Danio rerio: one gene and its partner. The main gene of each other region encodes a partner of the protein of the gene in region 2 in a complex. Links are inferred from orthologs where the notes say so. Each region holds a gene or a part of one and is shown on either strand. Other genes may lie near its edges.

The links. The genes of interacting proteins can lie anywhere in the genome.
Region 1: snrpf (region 2) and cwc27 share a complex: the UniProt entries of both Homo sapiens proteins name them as parts of the minor spliceosome. The link is inferred for Danio rerio from reciprocal best matches to the Homo sapiens genes SNRPF and CWC27.

What each region holds. Positions count from the first base shown.
Region 1 is NC_133185.1:12,136,368-12,140,108, forward strand, and holds part of cwc27 (spliceosome-associated protein CWC27 homolog), read left to right. Parts: intron 1-1,911; coding exon of another isoform or gene 1,912-1,914; coding exon 1,915-2,024; intron 2,025-3,741. UniProt on the Homo sapiens protein: As part of the spliceosome, plays a role in pre-mRNA splicing. Probable inactive PPIase with no peptidyl-prolyl cis-trans isomerase activity. As a component of the minor spliceosome, involved in the splicing of U12-type introns in pre-mRNAs.
Region 2 is NC_133182.1:19,363,796-19,368,156, reverse strand, and holds the start of snrpf (small nuclear ribonucleoprotein F), read right to left. Parts: upstream 2,828-4,361; 5' UTR 2,641-2,827; coding exon 2,638-2,640; intron 1,777-2,637; coding exon 1,651-1,776; intron 1-1,650. UniProt on the Homo sapiens protein: Plays a role in pre-mRNA splicing as a core component of the spliceosomal U1, U2, U4 and U5 small nuclear ribonucleoproteins (snRNPs), the building blocks of the spliceosome.

The sequences.
Region 1 (3,741 bases), on a different chromosome or scaffold from region 2:
TTTAAAACTTTGGTTACTCAGCTTGTTTGTTTTTGTACTAAATAAGTGACTTGGTAAAATGTCGACATGCATCTTTTAAACAACAATTATGATGTTATAATAGATAATACACACCACACACTCTTACCGTATATGATTAAAGCTTTCCTAATATAAGTATTGTTAAACATTTAATTTATATACAAAATTAAAAGACTAAGGCCCAATTCCAATTCTACCCCTTAGTGTAGGGCTAAGGGGAAGGGCTAGATACCCATTGAAACTGAGATTTTTTTAAAACCACACTCGAAAGCAAGGGGTAAGATTGTTTCCCAGATACACCAGCCACAACAGCAACGAGGCTGCACTCTAAAGTAAAGAGATGCACAAATGAGGTTTCGTCTTGCCGTTATAATGGATTTTTATAACACACAAGCATATATTTTAATATTTTCATTACCGCATTTGTTTTACCGTCATGCTTTAAAAAAAAAAAACGCTAAAATAAAAACCGCTGTATTTTGCTATCTATAATCCATGTTAATAAATCCTGTATAGTAATCCCACAACATTCTGACACTCAATAACACTTGAATTCCCTGTCAGAAAGTCTATTGGCAGGAAATGACCTTTTTACAGTGTCTGGTATAATGATGATGATGTTTTTGTGTGTTTATTTGCTGGGTGTAAATGCACAGTTCAGTTATGATCTTATTGCCACATTATATTGAACCACATTAAAAAAAATCACGCAACTGAAATAACTACAGCAGTCACGATCGTCAATCTCATATGAAACAAGAGATTAGGATGATGTGTGAAGGGGCTGTAGTGTTGTAGTGCTGTAGTGTTGTCCCATTTCTTAGAGGTAAATTTTGAAACCCTTACCTTTCACACTCTGTTCAAGGGCCAAGGGGAAGGGGTACAAAGGGGTACACAAATAGAATTGGGATTGGGCCTAAGTCTTACCAACTTTTATATAAATATATATATATATATATATATATATATATATATATATATATATATATATATATATATATATATATATATATATATATATATATATAAATAAAATGATATATAAATATTATTATTATAACAATTACAATCATTACCAAATTATAAAGTAGTAGAAAATTTATAACAAAAAATCAGGTACATGCAGTTTGGCATGCTTTTAATTGTATCAATAAATATAAATTAATGCATTTATATTAATAATTTGTTTGGCAAATGATTGTTCATTTCGTTTTTTTTTTTTTTTAATCATTTATCATTTAAAAGTTGTAAGTGCTTTTTTAATATGCATTTTGTGCAGTTATGCAGCAAAATGCTGTCAAACTTGATTTTTATATTATCATGGAGGAAACTCTCCTCTGTCCTTTCTCTCCCTTTTTTTATATCTTGTAGTGTTCACTGTGATTATTTTGAAGGATGGTAGAGCCCCGGTGCTACATAAACACATTTTGATGTGCTTTCCATTTCGCTTGTGTAATCCTTTTAGTATATATGTCTGTATATCACACACGTTTCCTCATCATTTGAATAAAATCCATCTCCTTATAGCGCAGAAAGTCATTTGGACTGCAAAAGTCATAAATTTTGTCCTTTGCACTGATGAGGGTCTTAGGACCTAAATTTTGGCATTGGCCATATGATTATTCTTGGAAGGAAGCGGCCCACAGGAGCTGTCATCTTCATCTAAGTTTATAGCAGTATAAACTTTATGTATTTCATAGTTATGTCCATATGATAGTAATAACTCCTGCTTTGGAATTCAGCTGTATTCTTTTCATGTAAATCCTTTCAAGTTAGTCACACTAGTATATATATAAAATATACAATAATGGATAGATTGATCCCTAAGGAGATATTAATATCTTGTATCTAGGTTGTAATCACTTTTGTGTTTTTTATTTTTGATGACAGTAGGTGACAGTAAGCAGAACAGTGAGGCGGTGACGGAGTATCTAGAGAGCAGGAAGAAGTACGACGACATGAGGAAGCAGAAATTAAAGAAGGGCTCTGGACGAGAAGCTCAGGTGGGTTTTAATTTGGCTTCTGCTTTTATAATTGGAAGATTTTTGTAAGATCTATTTCATGTGAGCTCAAACTAAGTCACAGACTACCACTTATGGGTTTACATTAGCTTTGTTTCCATCCAAGATTGCAAATCAGGCTTATGCGTGAAACTGGAATATCGCATAAAACATTTGTGAATAAAGCATTGTTTCCATCCAATAAGCCGAAGAGAACAATCATCACTTCCTGACAAACTGGTGCCACATAGCAAAAAGATTAATTTAATTTGCTGGTTAGGAGAAGCCACTTAGGGCCTTTTTCTTATATAATAAGAAGGTAAAGATTGTTTTAGGATATCTGAGATGCTCTTTGGGATTGCTGCTGCTCAACACAGTTCTGGAGGTAATACTGAGCCACTTTGCTGATAAACTTTGGACTTTAGAATGACCAAAACAATATTTCCGATATTTCAAAATGTGATAATTTTTCAGGTTTGTAAATTAATGTCATCCCACGACACCCATTTTTGTTATTATTGATCTGTTAAAACAAAATTACTTGACTTTTTGGCCACACTTTATTTTGATGGTCCGTTTGTTGAATTTAAGTTACATTGCATCTATAGCCAACTAATTCTCATTAGATTGTAAGTAGACTGACTGGTGGGTTGAGGTTATGGTTAGTGTAAGTTGACATGTACTTGAAAAGTTCCTTATAGTTAGTTAAATGTCTGTTGAAGGACTGGTTAATGTCAGTAACAACAGATATTAAGCAAACTTTCTACTAATGCTCAAATGCATGTTAAAATAAAGTGTTATCGACTTCCACTTTCCATCATCAAATAAAAAGTATTCATTGACCTTGACCTTGTACCATATGGGAATAACATAAAATGTTAGAAGATTGGAACAGATGGGGAAATCTACCCATGTCAAACGATGTCCTAAGCATTTGACACAAATCAAGATAATGTAACAGACACCTTTTTATAGATGCACAATTGCAGTAGCTGTGTTGTAATGACAGCCCTTTAATGACTATAGGTTTTAATTTGCTTTTCACAAGACTGTGCTGTTTGCATTTTCTGACAGGTTTTCACTGAGCCACAATTTCCCAATGATCAATTTATGCACTGCTTGAGGAAATAATGAATAATTTCTGAAAAACTGACAATCAAATGTAGATTTCAGATAAAATAAGAAAAGAAAAAATATCAAATGGTAATTTCGCTCAATTTTCCAAACGGATAAACAGCTCTCGTAAAAATTTTACCATGCTTTCACTTTCATATTTGACTCGAAACACAGATATTCTGGTAAGAATGATGAAGTCCTGCCCTACTCATAATTCTCATTCATATAGCAGCATATATGGCTATTATATATCCATAATACACTGTGATATTGCCTGGTTTGTCATTGCCTGGATTGTATTGCTTTCTCACTACATTCAATACACTTCAGAGTTTGTTTCAATCAAGCCGAGACCACCTCATTCAGGCGATTTTGGACTGATTGTTTTGGAGCGAATCAGAGCGCGATTGCACTGTTCACATACAGTATGCCAAATGAACCAAGCTAACTGAGCAAATACGTCAGATTCTGAAACAAACGTCTTGGTGTAAAAGCACCCTAATTTTGCAGTCAATGGTCATGTCTAAATGGGTATGATAAAACCAGGAAAGTAAAAATATGGTAAACACTACCCAGACTTACATGTACATCATTTCTAAAAAGG
Region 2 (4,361 bases):
ACAAACAACATTAACAAATAAAATTAGATAAAAACTTAAAATAGTTTAATTCTACCATCTTCGAAAGATTCACTTTTTTTTTTTTTTTTTTTAAATAGTTGCTTTAAGGCACAGGTGTCAAACTCAATTCCTGGAGGACCAAAAGCTCTGGACAGTTTAATTCCAACCCTAATTAACCACACCTGATCAAACTAATTGAGTCCTACAGTCGTTTGAAACCTACAGGTAAAGCGGCAGGCACACTGCACCCCTATAGACTTCCATTTATTAGCAAGTAAATGCCTTAGACAGGAAACGCAAGCTCGTGCCACAAGTTTCGCAGTTCGATGTGTTGGAAACTTAAAGCTTGGTGAACTCTGACCAATAGAAGATCAAAACACGACCTCTCTGTACAGAAATTTTAAATATGGTCAAATCGTAATCAGCTTGTTTAATCCCGCCCCTTTTTGCAGCACCAAACGGCAGAATTTCACATGCTCAAACTGTAGTGTGGGGAAGCAGGGTTGCAACTAAACTATGCAAGACTGCGGCCCTCCAGGAACAAAGTTTGACATCCCTGCTTTAAGAACTCTCCAGATAAAAATGGTTATCTAAAACATTTTAAACAGGGCATTGCAAAAGTATCAACTCGAGTTGAGTTTTATTGTCATTCCGCTACATCTGTGGACACACAGTGAAATGTCTTGCAGGACCACAGTGCAACATAAATAAACTATCATAAATATAAACAACCCTTATAGACATAAGAGCGATTTTAAACCTATACATAACTACATAGCAGAGCAGTAATTAACTATACATGTACTAAAGACCTTTTTGAGGGATGTAAACAATAACAATGGTCCTACTGTATTTTCAGTAGCTTCTGAGAGTCCAAAAAGTCCCACATATTGATAGTTACAATAGCTGTTATAATAGCTGTTATATAAGTTATGAATGAATCGCCTCTTGTTACAGATATGAATTGACAACAAGCAGGAAATATTCATGGGCCAATGGCATCACCACATTGAAACGGTCTATAAATAGTAAAAAAAAAAAAAAACTTTACGCATAACCTTAGACAGACTATACAAGTACTTTTATATAAGACAGAACAATATTGTGCAAAAGAGATCATTTAAGGTTGAAGGAAATGACCAGTTAAACAATTTGTGGTACAGTCACAGGTAAACATTGTTTTTTTTTTTTTATTAAGTCCTTGTAAGAGATCTAGAAAAACTTGCATTTAGAGAGATTAGCATTTCTACAGGTGGTTTGTCAAGCCCACTCACCTGTGTGAACCAATCTCAGAAATGCACAATGTTTTATAGAGCTATGAAGTGGTTGAAAGAGAGGGTCTGGTACAAATAGACAAAACTAGTGCAAGTGTGTCAAGGAGTGTTTATAAAGCCCACTCACTTGTGTAAGGCACACTCAGAATTGCTAAATATTGAGGTTTTCATATGAAGTGTATATGCTTGACAGCTAGGTTGCCATTACAATATTTACATTTTTGGCCACCTTCTGCTTTAAGCAGATGTCTGTGTGTGTCTAGCATCTCCATAATGGCATATACAACGGTATGTCTCGAGTTAAAAAGAATAGTTTAAATTTTCTTCCTACTAAGGAGCTGGATTTTCATAGAATCGTTAACTCTTTTAAACATACCTGCATGTTCATGTACCCATCCACTGACACCAGGTAGCCCTTGTACTCCATGCCCCACTTCAGCTTCACCATCACAGGCTTTCCTGTCAGACCATTCAGAAAGGGCTTTGGGTTCAGCGGCAAACTCTGAGGGAAAAGATCAGTGTTACACAATTAACATCATTCGAAATCAATCCCTAAGTGTCATTTTCAAACAATTCCATGTCAACATAATATTGTTCCTGAAGAAGTAAAATACTACAAATGTTGATGATTTTATTCTCAAGTGAGTGAAAAGCTTAGAAGAAACTTTAGCATAGCCTCCGGTGATGCTCAGTCATATTTGACCAAATAGAAAAAAAAAAAGATTTACATTTTGGGTTTTAGTTTTTTTTCTTCATCAGCTTGTTATAACTTTTAGTAAAAAGTTTTGACACTAGCCGCATGAATTTACACAAGCAAAATAAACAAATAATAAAAACAAAACAAAAACAGATACAATTGATATGACTTCATTTTAAATTGTAATGACAAATTCTCATTACTGTAGTTTGTGGTATAAAAAATCAAAACACGCATGCATACACACAATATATATATATATATATATATATATATATATATATTGTATAACTTCAATAAAACAATATAATAATTTACAGCATTAATTGTTTTTGGTTTCCACCAGAATTAGCTGCAAATAAGCATCAGTAATAGCAGAAAAAACTCCTTTAACGTTAGTTTTTATCTTTAGTTTTCCCACACATATATCATTTAATCGCATTTTGGGAGTCACCGACTAGGTTGTAAGAGAACAAGGAGGAACATTTATCAGCAAAGCTCAACATTTCTAACACAACACTGAAAATGACTGAAAACAACGTCCAGTCTGCGTTCCTGATGCTAACACCTAGCCGCATTATCAGCGTATTTATGAATGAAAACGTCTACGCTCTTTCGCCAAACTGAAGGTTTGGATACAAATAAAAGAGATAACGATGAACTTACCATGACTGGATTACTTAAGTAGTATTTTCAGACACAAAAATTGTTTATTTGAATAGTATAAGCTAATGCAGCACACTCGCACGCCTTGCCGCCGAAAGAGGGAAGGACTACGAGCGCACTTTGACCGCACGGCAGGAGAGAAGAGCGGATCTGCCCGCTGCGCCACTCGCTGGACAGGCGGGGAATAGAGCCGTGAATCCTCAGTTGAGCTGGAGTGGAGGTCTGAAATTAAAGAAATAGTTTATCCAAAAATAAAAATGTACTTACTATAAACTATTTCCGTTTGATGATGTCGTTGGCCCATAAACATTTCCTGCTTGTTATAAAACTGTTTCACAGCTGTATCAAGAGGCAATTCAACCATAACTTAATGTTAAAACAGTTCTTATAACATTATTTATCAATATGTGGCTCTTTTTAGATTCTCGGAAGCTATAGAAATTTAAAATGTAAAACAGGAAATACGTAAGGACCATTGTCTTTTGTTTAGATTCCTCAAAATTGTCTATATAGTCACCCTTGAGGGGTTTCTAACCTTAATGAGATTCTTTTTTTTCATTTGAAAACAAAAATAAGATATTTGGAAGTATGTTAAAACTGGTATTGTTGTTTCGAAAATGTTGGACACCGGTAACTATTGGCTTCTATTGTATTTGTTTTTCATCATATTATAGAAATGGTTACCAGTTTCCAAACATCTTCTTTGGTGTTCAGCAGAAGAAATAAACAAGTGAAGGGTAAGTAAATGAGAACATAATTTCATTTCATCACTATCCCTTTAAAAAAATTAATATGTATAAATTATTTTATATATTTATTTTGTACCATTTTTAACAACTCCCAAAACAGCAGCAGTGGATCATTTTATCATTTCATTCAACGAGAACGGAAACTTGCAATCATTTACAGTCTTTTAGATTTGTATTTGAAAGCACAACACATCTAATTTCTCTTTGATTTGTACAGTAATTTAGCTTTGCAAAACTATTGACCCTCAATTATATAAATAAAAAAAAATGCAAATATCCCACATCAATCATTTAACCGAAGACTTGCCCAGTAGGTTTTTGCATTTCATTACCATCTATTCAAAAGAGGTCATGTTTGAAATGTCATGTACAGTGGTGGATAGTGATGGACAATATTTTCTTCCCCAGAGAGGGTGTATATAGTTAGGTTAGTTAGTTAGCTAGCTAGTTGGTTAATTTATTTGTCCCTGTAGGGTAATTTCATTTGCAGTATACACTCACAGAGACAACTAACATTTCAAATTTGCCATTTATATAAATAAATCATGAAAAACATGGTACCCCTACTCTAAATAAATATCTAGACTACTGGCCATCAACTGCTACTGAGGGAGGAGGAATTTAAAAACTTAACTGCTTACGGTATAAATTAAGATTTTGTCCTATTTCTCACTTATCTGGCAACACAATAGTGATGACCTGATAATAACACTTGGAAGGTGTATGGAAAAGGATGTCACTCATCTTTGACAATCATGATAGCCTTATTTAGTACTCTTTCTTTGTATGTACTATCTATCAATGCTCTTTAGTTTTATTCCCAACAACTTATTGGCTGTAGTTGCCACCTTCCCCAGCAGTGACCTTTTCTGGGCCTCAGAAGCATGTCCATACAAACAGATCACACAAAGTGTTGCAGTACTTGAATAAAAGTACTATAAAACATGATAAACAATGTGTTGTCAACATTAAAAG